Coturnix japonica: one gene and its partners. The protein of the gene in region 2 binds, or shares a complex with, the protein of the main gene of each other region. Links are inferred from orthologs where the notes say so. Each region holds a gene or a part of one and is shown on either strand. Other genes may lie near its edges.

What was found.
Region 1: WDR92 (region 2) and ASDURF share a complex: the UniProt entries of both Homo sapiens proteins name them as parts of the PAQosome complex. The link is inferred for Coturnix japonica from reciprocal best matches to the Homo sapiens genes DNAAF10 and ASDURF.
Region 3: WDR92 (region 2) and RUVBL1 share a complex: the UniProt entries of both Homo sapiens proteins name them as parts of the PAQosome complex. The link is inferred for Coturnix japonica from reciprocal best matches to the Homo sapiens genes DNAAF10 and RUVBL1.

The regions. Positions count from the first base shown.
Region 1 is NC_029522.1:4,422,927-4,426,676, forward strand, and holds the start of ASDURF (ASNSD1 upstream open reading frame protein), read right to left. Parts: upstream 2,810-3,750; 5' UTR 2,743-2,809; coding exon 2,680-2,742; intron 803-2,679; coding exon 749-802; intron 215-748; coding exon 139-214; intron 1-138.
Region 2 is NC_029518.1:372,765-376,514, reverse strand, and holds the start of WDR92 (WD repeat-containing protein 92), read right to left. Parts: upstream 2,107-3,750; 5' UTR 2,077-2,106; coding exon 1,888-2,076; intron 1,804-1,887; coding exon 1,703-1,803; intron 1,633-1,702; coding exon 1,502-1,632; intron 1,192-1,501; coding exon 1,090-1,191; intron 496-1,089; coding exon 380-495; intron 194-379; coding exon 59-193; intron 1-58. Other genes in the region: RNA-binding protein PNO1, read left to right, coding at 2,173-2,343, 2,418-2,567, 2,859-2,942, 3,175-3,235, 3,526-3,643, 3,725-3,750. UniProt on the Homo sapiens protein: Key assembly factor specifically required for the stability of axonemal dynein heavy chains in cytoplasm.
Region 3 is NC_029527.1:7,150,831-7,154,480, reverse strand, and holds part of RUVBL1 (ruvB-like 1), read right to left. Parts: intron 1,149-3,650; coding exon 997-1,148; intron 1-996. UniProt on the Homo sapiens protein: Possesses single-stranded DNA-stimulated ATPase and ATP-dependent DNA helicase (3' to 5') activity; hexamerization is thought to be critical for ATP hydrolysis and adjacent subunits in the ring-like structure contribute to the ATPase activity.

The DNA of each region.
Region 1 (3,750 bases), on a different chromosome or scaffold from region 2:
GCAGGCACAACTGAAGTCCACTTGGTATTTAACATGCAGTTGCCAGCTTTCCCACTGTACTACAACTTGGAAATCTTCAACAGCTACAGAGACAGCTTTTAAACAGTTGAACTATTACCTTTGGTGCAGCAAACTTACTTTTGCATTGAGACAGTGTTTCTGTTCGGTCTACAAGGAAGAATATGTTGCTATTGGGTTGCTGCCTATAAACTTTCTGTAAAATAAATACAACACCACATTAAGTAAAAGTAGCATACACAGGCAACCACACTGCAGCAGAAACTCACTGAAGTCCACTGAGATACCCTTCCCTTTTATGTCTGAAAGATACCTTCTCTGCCATGAGCAATGTCCTCATGTCGCACCAAAACATTTCAGGAACAACCCACAACCATTCTGCATTTTCCTCCTTTCCTCATACTTAAAGGGTCATATTTTGTTTTACATCATATGCACATGAAAAATAAAGAAGCTTTTAACATAAACTGATCCACTCAAACATCATAATATAAAAATTGTGCTAAAGTAAAACCTTGAGACAGCTTCCTGTTACAATGCACAAGTGTAAGTAAACCCTCAAGCGATGTAGACAACATTTTGACACCATACAGAAGATCATATACACATTAAAATCTTTAGTGTAACAACTAAAGATAATGTACTCACTGCAATTTTGTTTGCCCTCTTGCCTCTATACAAATTTATCTGATGCTAAAATGAAGTAAGCAGAAAAAACTTTAATGCTTACCCTGTTCTTCTTCAAATTCGAAAGCTCATCAACTACAACCTTCTGTTCCTTAATCTGAAAGAGAAAAAACACATCTCAATATAATTGTCAACAATAAACTACTGTGTTGCAGTCCTGGAGATTAAAATCTTTACCCATGTTTTTAAGACAGCTATAAAAATATAAGTCACTGTGCCCTGAACAGACCACTAAAATGAAAGTGGACACAGGAATGAAAAAGAAATTTCATTACCCATTATTCCAAGCATACAACAAGTCTTCGGACCACATAACTGAATTACATTTAACACACTTCTTATTGAAATCTAAGTTATGAATTCAACAATAAGACAATGAAGCACTCTAAATAACTGCTTTGGAAGGGAATTATCTTGCATGGTTGACACTGTTCCCATCCCCCCAAAGCAGTCATTACTGGGAAGCCAGAGTACTCCTCGCTGCTCAGAATCCAAAATCACTTCACCCTCAACCTCCCCCAAAAAAACAAACGTATAAACAACTATTAACATTTGTCAGCCTGGAGAAGAGGAGGCTCAGGGGAGACCTTATAGCTCTCTATAACTTCCTGAAGGGAGGTTGTAGTGAGCTGGGGGTTGGCCTCTTCTCTCATGTAAGAGATGACAGAACTAGAGGGAATGGTTTTAAGCTGTGCCAGGGGAGATTCAGGCTGAACATTAGGAAGTATTACTTCTCAGAAAGGGTAGTCAGGCATTGGAATGCACTGCCCAGGGAGGTGGTGGAGTCACCGACCATGGGAGTGTTCAAGAAACGTCTGGATGTTGTGTTGATGAATATGATTTAGCTGGGAAGTATTGGTAACGGTTGGACTAGATGATCTTCTAGGTCTTTTCCAACCTTGATAATTCTGTGATTACGCAACTTAGAGAAAAGATTTACCTACACAATACACTTTATAATCTTATTCTCCAGATTCAAAATGAAAACAGTAAATGAAACAATTAAAAACCTACATAACCAATAACCCCCCCCCCCCCCCCCAAATAAATAAATATGTATAAAACAACCCCAAAACTGTATTAAGATAATTAGAAACACTTCCAGTACACTGGACTTTTAGCACAAAGTTGTCATGCTGCATCTACCGCCATCAGTTCAGCTGCACTGACACAAACAGTCCAATGCTCCTGCTTCCCTGGACAACGTCAGCCACTAAAGACAAAGAGCCATTAAAGACAAAGAGCAATCAGGGCCCATCAAAAAAGCTGAAACACAAAGCTAAAGTGGTTCAACACACACTACTTTCTGTAAGCACAGAACACACCTTACTCCGGTCCTCCTTTCTGCCTCCTGGAATTGGCGCAGATGGAAATAACTACAGGGCTGTATAAGGCAAACTGAACTGAGAAAATGCTGTTTCACCAACAGCTACAACAGCATACTATGATAGTTATTGAAACAGACAAGAACACAGTGCAGTCTTGTGATGCAAAGCAGAACCAGGCATTTCAGCCACGCAGCTAATACGCTGTGTTGTGCTGATGCAGTTGCTCTCTTTAGTCTCTTATGTAACCAATCAACTAGAGAACAACACTAATCTATTGCGATATTAGTGTAGAAGAATAAAGTCACTTTTTATGCGAGGACAACTGACCAGGACTGTACAGAACTCACACTGAACAAAGACAAGACTGCCACTACGAAAAGCCCAGCTTTAAAGCTGGCCTCCTCACTAAACTCCCTCACGACTTGCTCAACAAACCCAGAGAACCACATTCTCCTTCGACTAATCACACACAGCCCATCTCACAACACTAAAAACGGGAAGGGAACTCGCCAGAAGGGCTCACAACACTCGAGCTCCCCCACACCTTCACCTGGGCCACAGCGCAGCTCAGCCTCCAGCACACCCTCCTCCTTCCCACACACAACTATGAGACGCAGGGCAGCACCTCAGACCCTCCATAACTCACCCTCCGGCTCAGCTCCTCCTTACGGCCCAGCTCGGCGCTCTCCTCCTCCTCCCGCCGCGACATCCCCAGCTCGCAGTGCCGGCCGCTGCCGTCGCACAGCAATATACGCACAACGGCTGCGCCTCACGCTGTGGGCTCCAAACAACTGCAGCGACTGCGCATGCGTACAGCAGAGCGGCTGTTAGGCGCGTATGGCTGAGGTGGAGTTATGGCCGTAGTGGCTGTGGAGCAATGAGACCATTTTCCTTCAGTACCGGCTGCCTTGTTGTCGGATCTTTGATAGTATTTTGATTCATGGAGACATTTCCCGTTAGTCCCCTGCTTGAGCTCTACTCATCTGTTGTGCTGTGTCCAGGTGTGGAGCCCTCAGTACAAAAAAGACATGGAGATTTTGGAAAGGGTCCAGAGGAGGGACAGGAAGATGATCAGGGGGCTGGAGCACCTCCCCTATGAGGACAGGCTGAGGGAGTTGGGTTTGTTCAGCCTGGAGAAGAGAAGGTTGCGGGGTGACCTCATTGCAGCCTTTCAGTACCTGAAGGGAACTTACTGCCAGGAGGGGAGTAAACTCTTCGAAAGGGCTGATAATAGCAGGACACGGGGAAATGGTTTTAAGTTAAAAGAGGGAAGATTTAGGTTGGATGTTAGGGGGAAGTTCTTCACTAGGAGAGTGGTTAGGCCCTGGAACAGGTTGCCCAGGGAGGTTGTGGATGCCCCGTCCTTGGAGGTGTTCAAGGCCAGGTTGGACGGGGCCCTGGGCAACCTGATCTAGTAAAGGTGTATGTTTGGTGGCCCTGCCAGGCAGGGGGGTTGGAACTACATGATCCTTGAGGTCCCTTCCAACCCGGGTCATTCTATGATTCTGTTGGAACCTTCATTATCTGTCTTGCTACATTAACCAAAGATGATAAGTGAATGCTTCATCCTTCTGTGCCATCTTCCAAGTAGTAGTAGTGCTTTAGCTTAGGATGCAAGTAGCAGTGTGTCTTCTTGGTGTGGAAACAGAATCAATGAGATGAGACGGCTCAACCTGGCTGTTCCAAAATACACTTAAACAGTAGGACTAAAAGAGTA
Region 2 (3,750 bases):
GTTCTGTACAAACTCCTGTACTACATGTTGCTAAAGGAATGATCCATCTCCCCATTACCTTCTCTGAAACAGAAGCAAAACCTTTAGTTGGGTGCTGAGTCCTCATATCGAAGACATGGAATTTTCCCTCCAGTGACGTGGCCACCAGCTTGTTCATGTTCACATCTTTCCTGTCAAACTCCACACTGCAAACCTGCAAAGAGTGAAACCAATACGTTCAGCCACTGCTACAAGCATATATTTGTGAGTGTGATTTGCAGACACGTATCTAATCATTGGTTATTCTTACAACAGCTTCACCAACTCGGCAATAACGCGATTGCCTGTAAACAGACACACACCACAGCTGGAATGAAGCCCTGCTTCCACAGCACCTTACCCCGTTCTTAATGTTGGTCTCCCATCGCAGTGACATGGCTTTTAAGTCAAACAACTTAATGTCCCCATTGTCGTATCCAGCACATACTACACGTTCCTCTTGATTGTAAGCATTGCCTGGACACAGAGACAGAATTGATCACAACACAGAAACCCCTCTTAGGCTGTAAATTTGAGACCTCTTAAGTCAGCAATTTCAACTTAGATTTATGCCAGCAAAGCATCATATAGTAGGATTTAATGAATTGAGAGCACAGAGTTTGGGATGGACATGGCCTGGGCTCAAGCATCCTGAATTCAAGAGCACAAGTTAAGCATCTCTGCTGTCTTTCGTTAGCTCTGGGGATTGTCTCTTACATTAATGTCTTAATGTCATCAGCAGATATTGGTTCTCCATGCACAATCACAGTTAGACCCCTCCAGGGCAAAGTGGTTTCTTTGCTTTTACATTCCTAGACATAGAAATGTTCAATTCCCACACTAGGGCTGTAAAAATGCCTAAGAATAAAGCTTGTCTGTGAAGTGATTGAGCAGAGATGGTAAGAAAACAATGCCTGAGCCAACTACCACCAAACGTGATGGAAAGACAGCCTTTAAAACACAGTGCAAAGACACAGATGTGATAACACCGAACAACAAACCCTGCCTTCAGTGGTTTGATTACTGTCAACACGCAGTGACATTACAGGGGGCTGTTATCAGACTGGTTACCAAAGGCCACCGTCCAGCAGTCCCTCTTGCTCTCTCCCTGCGCAGGTTCCATGTTGGCAACAGGAGTTTCCTTCTGCCGAGGGTCCCACACCTTCACAGTTCCTAAGGAAAGCAAAGCCATCAGTGTTACAGATGCACTGATGCACCACTCTTGGTTTCCCAGGGAAAGGCAGCCTGACGCCTCCAGACTATGTCAGTGTATAGGAAGAAATGAAACATAATACAAACAGAAAAGCACAGGGAAAGTATAAGATGTCTAGCTGCTATTTTGTATTTGTTCTGCTTTATGTTCCTCCTCTCCAGCTCCCAAAGGAAGCAGAGGAGGCTCATCCCAAAGGGCCGCCCTCCATTTCGGTGCCCACAGCCTGTAGTTCAGGGATGTCACTGAGCAGCTCAGCTCTCTCCCACTCACCATCCCGGCTGCCTGTCACAATTTCTGGGGCACCTTCCCCAATTCCGAGGCCTCCGACCCCATCGATGCAGTTAATGATTTCCTTGTGACCTTTCACGGAGTACACGGGGACTTCAGGAGCTTCTAAGTTCCTATGTGAGAAACAGATAACACAGCGTTGCCTTCAGTAGCCAGGAGCGCTGTAAGGAATCACACACCCACCAGATGCTGAGGCATCCCGCGAAGTCCCCTGTCGCCAGGTGCCGTTGCTGCAGGGAGGCTGCCCCGAAGGTGGCACATTTTATCGGTTTGGCCTTTTCGATCTGCAGATAAAGGACACGGTCGGCACCGTATGAAGCGTTAAACCCCTCGGCCTACGAGGTGCCGCCCCGCATCGCCCCGCTCACCTCGCTCAGCAGCAGCAGCCGCCCGGCTCGCAGCTCGTACAGCTGGATGAGGCCGGTGCCTCGCGGGGCGCTGCCGAGGCACAGCAGGCGGGCGCTGCGCGGCACCCACTTGCAGTCGAACACGGTGTAAGTCAGCGGCTGCTGCACGTGAACCACCACCTGCGGCCGGTCCAGCCCCGCCGCCGACATAACGAGCGACGGCAGCGACGCGGATAACGCAGGAAGCGGAAGGGACGGCGGGACGGGCAGGAAGTGGCGGTGGCTTTTCCGGCGGAGGGCCACGCTATGGAGTCTGAAGCGGATGAGAACGGGAGCGGCTTCACCAGCGTGGCTTCCAAGCGCGGCAGGAGGAAGCGGAGAGCGGCGGCTGCGGAGCCGATGGAGGCGGTGGATGCGGCGGGGCCGCAGCCCAGCAAGAGACCCGCCTTCCCACCGCTGCCCGCCGCGGCCATGGGGGTGAGCGCGGCGCCGAGGCGGAGGGATGGGGCGGACGGGCTGCACGTGTCCGCTCAGCGCCCATCTGTCCGCAGGTGGGGAAAGGGGAGGTGAGGAAGGTGCCGGTACCGGCCAACAGGTACACGCCGCTGAAGGAGAACTGGATGAAGATATTCACGCCCATCGTGGAGCACCTGCAGCTCCAGATCAGGTTTAACTTAAAGACCAGGAACGTGGAGATCAAGGTGAGCGCTGTGCTGTGTGTCCTCACGTTCCTCTCATCCCTCGTGTTTCATTGAAACCCGCCCAACCGGGCCTTGGGCACCTCCAAGGCACCCACAGCTCTCTGGGCAGCCTGTTGTCTTAAGCACAACATACACTACTGGTCTGCGCTTTCAGTAGAACACAATGCGGAGGTGGCATTACACGAACGTGGCTTTGGCTTTCTTTTATACAGCCAGCCTTTATCTCACTGACTTTCCAAGTCCTGATTCCGTTTGCCTGATAACATAGAAACGTATCTTCTCGTTCTGCAGACCTGTGCTGAGACCAAAGACCTCAGTGCTCTGACCAAAGCAGCTGACTTTGTCAAAGCCTTCATACTCGGCTTCCAGGTGGAGGTGAGTCTCCCAGCGGCCGGGTTGTGCTATTGCTCAATATCTTCAAGCACTCTGGACATGACATCAAGAAACAGAAAACTTCAGGGTGGTTTTCTTTAATGTTTGAAGTTAAAACTGATGTTTGATGCGTCAAATGGAGATACGTGACTGATTTGATCTGTTTGGGCCTGTAAAGAACTTGTGTGTGACAGTGCTGCAGTGCTCAGGCTGATGGTGACTCTGAATGTTGCAGGACGCTCTCGCTCTCATCAGATTAGATGATCTCTTCCTGGAATCATTTGAAGTTACGGATGGTGAGTAGTTTCTGCTGTGCTACTCAAGCAGCCATTCACTTCTGAGCACTTCTTTGCTCTTTCCTTCTTTTCCACGTGTGTCACTTTGGGGATCAGGAAAACCCCGATGCCAATACATGGCATAACTGTCTATGGGGAGAACCTGGAGCTGGACACAAGGAGAGCAGCATCTAAAACTGATGTGTTTCAACATGTGTTAATTGCTGCTTTTCCCTTTGTTTGAATAGAGGAAATGTCACGGAGGATACGCAGCACAGCGTAATTGATTGAGTACTTTGTTCTTGTTTTAGTCAAACCTTTGAAGGGAGATCACCTGTCCAGAGCAATAGGGAGAATAGCGGGGAAAGGTGGAAAAACCAAATTCACTATAGAAAACGTAACGAGAACGAGGATCGTTCTTGCTGACTCGTAAGTACTGACATCCTTATCAGCTGTCATCATTGCTGCATTTCTTATATTAACTAATATTGCTTTGACTCCTTTTTACAGGAAAATCCATATTTTAGGATCTTTTC
Region 3 (3,650 bases), on a different chromosome or scaffold from region 2:
TGTCTGAAGAAAGTGACATTAAGTGCCAAAAACATAATGATACCAGTTATGCCTTTGTGTAATGTGACAATGTGTTTACACTTAGGATGTGGTGCTTCACTTGCTTTCTAGCAAAACTTTTACAAAAACTGACTATTGCACTGCGTTGTGCTACTTGATCCTCAGTCTGCATCCTCTGTCAAGCTGTGAGGGAGAGCGGACGTGGAATATGAGATGCTATTGTTTCTCATAGTATGTATTTATTCATTTTTCCTCTGCATTTTCTTGTTTTCAGTGTGAACAAATGCAAGTTGATACTTAACAACAGAGACAGCTTTCAGCTCTCGTATTCTGACAGGGAAATTAAACAATAAGGACAGAGACAAGAAAACAAAGGGAAAGTGGGGCTGAGCTGGCAACATACCAGCTCAATTTCTAGTTCTCTATCACGTATTCACTAAAGCATATCTCCACACATAAAAAGAACTGTGGCAGAAAGAACAATTTATATAGAAGCAGACAAAATTTGCCAAAACTGTTCTCAAAAATTCAGTTGAGTATCAGGCAAAACAAAAATGAATAAACCTTCTTGAACATTTGCTATTATGAATGTGAAGTTACAGCTGCAGTCACTGTGAGCATATCAGGTCATAGTTCTGATTCCCCACTGAACCTGCTTTTCTGTGAGCTACTGATGTTGCCGCAAAACTGCATCGGAATCTTTTGCTGGTTAAATCTTTTAACTTGAATGCTCACAAGTGTGTGTTGTCAAAACAGAAAAGTAACAGGAGCTGTTAAGAGTGACGACAAAGTTTCAATAAGTAGGAGAAAAGACCAATATCCAAAACATACAAACACTGAAGAGACAAAAGTACGTGTTCAGGAGTAAGACAATGCTGCCTAGCAAAACAGTTTCTTTGCACTGTTATTCTACCCACGTGGGGATCAAGAACTGGTAAAAACAAAAGATGCAGATGTGACATTTTGAAGGAAATTTTGAAACTCTACCATACGTACCTTCAACTGTTTGGTGCCCTTTGCAGTTTTGAGTCCTATAATTACATGGCTGATTGTTTTGCCGTAGCCCCCCATAGGGTTTTCAGTCTCACATGGAGTTAATTCTGTGACTTCTCCTTCGTACACCTCCTTGGTCTCTTTAATCCTCAATCCTGGAAGCAATTGTTTGGAATAGTTTAATTGCACAAATCAATGACCAAAAGCACTCAAGACTCTTCTACATCAATACTAACATATTGATGTAGAATATAATACATTATTGATGTAAAATATAATACAGTTTTTAATATATTGTTAGGGTTTGTTACCTTTAACTGGAGTTCTTTAATTCCAAAATTTGAAAGATAATTATAGTTTTTCAATATTCAACCTATGTTCTGATCCAAAAAGCAGCTTATTAAACTCTAGGAAATTATTTTCTTTCTGCTGCTTATTATTCATTCTTTAAGCAGATATCAGCATCCTCTCTCTTTTACCTCCACTCAAAGAGGGCAATTGCCTGACTAGTAACTTTAAACTGAAGATCAACAGTTGATCAGAATTCTGAAACTAAAGATCAGCAGCAACAGCACAACTGTGAGTTGTACGTGATTTTCATGCTTTCAGAAAAGTCCCATGAAGTCAGGATAGAGGAGGAACAAAAGTAACTTCAAAAAAACCTTTGTTTTTAAGAAAAACAAGATATATTATTTTACTAAGTTATAAGTGAGAGGTGAGTTAGACAAAGTTTAACAGAATCTGTCAAAGCAAGCTTAAAACTGTTTCAAAATAGGAGACAGTGACATCCTTGCTTCACTGTTTTTCAGTGAGTTGAGAAAACATTACAATATTCTAAGCCAAAACCATTGTAATGGACTAAAAGTCATTTTAAACTGATAAATAATACAGAGCTGAAGAGTTTAATGTTTAGACTGTGCCGAAGAAAAACCACTATCATCACCACCACAATTATGCAGACGCTCTAAGTACATAAAATTTCAAAGAACCCACATCTGAGGAGACTCTATAAAGTATTTTATGAGACACACATGCCATACCAAAAATGATGAATAGGCTGTAACAAGATACAAGGAAATCATCCTGTGCAGTCTGAGGCTATTAGGACTTTATAAAACTTTCCTTGTTCCTTAACTTTTCATTTTGCTTTGAAATAGATCAGACACTTCACCAGTAATCTTGAGTTGCTGATAGGGAAATAGAAAGGACTGACAAATAAGAGTCTGTCTCCCTCTACTGGACCCAAATTAAGGATAGGATTTGAAATGTGAGAAATCGTGGGGTTTTCGGATAAGAGGATAACTTCTTGGTAAGAAACGTGTGCTTTCTCTTACTTACCATAACCTGGAAGTTCTACACAAAGTTAATTTCAGAAAATGTTTCAAATGTTTTTCACGTATGCCAAAACATTAAAGTAATGAACCTCTGAATGATGAAATTGAGCAAGATGAGGCTGTGTCACATAGACAACATCTGCAAGGAGCATTCAGTAATATGGGATTCTGTACAGTAGAACTCTCTGTGGTAAACTCTGGACATTTGCAGTCTTGCTTTTCCCTTTTGTTTTTAATGTTTCAGCTTAAGTCCTATTTTGCCCCCACAAACTGCAAGACATTCATCTTTGGGGTATATTTGCATGGTCTTAAATCACATCTTTAAGCTTTATTTCATTTGAAAATAATCAGACTCGAGCAAATTCTGTTCCACAATACAAAGCAAAGCTGAATCAGTTCAGAGCTTAACAAGATCTGAAAAAAAGCAATCAGTGTTTTGAATTTTCTGTTGACTGTCTTTTGTTTCAAAATCAATCTGCATGGATCAGCTTAACTCTTAAAAGACCTCCTTAACTTAAACAGAGACATTTCCTAATTACAAATCAGAAGCACAAGCCCAGGAAAGAAATTGCAGAAAACTTCATATTTTGGCTCAAAGGTGCTGTGGACTTCAGTAGTGCTTGTTTGATTTACTGGCAGTTACAACTCATAGACAGCATATTGTTTCCCTGTATCTAAGGGGTTATTCCAGTTCTTTACTGCAATTGAACTCTTTAATACTAGTTAGTTTCTGTCACCACGTTGGTAGGCTGCTAACACATCCCTAATGATTTTTACAATTTGAGCCCCCTAAAGGAAGGTTTCACACCAATCAAGCAAAAAATAAATAAAATAGGGGCCAACTGTATGAGATTTTTATTCCCTGCACTCAGCCACAGCTGCACTGTGCATAAAAAATCCTTTTTGAGAACATTTACTCTTTTAAATTATTTATTTGCCAGGCAGGTGATCTAAAATGTAACCAAGATTTAAACACGATTGGAAAACATTCCACTGTAATAAAGAACAGCTGATCCTTTAAAATATTTGTTTCTTTTTTTTTTTACACTGATAAAAATATTCAATAAAAGTTGTCATGAAAATGTGACACGGAGTTCAACAGAAAGGAATAAAAGAAGTTCCATCTTTCATGAACGCCAATATTTGTTTAGAAGTGTCTTTCTGCTGACATTCAGGGAATGCGGAGGACTAACAATGTAGCTGGCTGTTAACCCAGGAGTTAAAATCCAGCTATCTCCAGAAATGACAACATGGATGGCAGAAGTTTCATCTGTTGGTTCAAGTTTCCAGATCTCTGACAGGGTACTTCATCACATCAAGGAA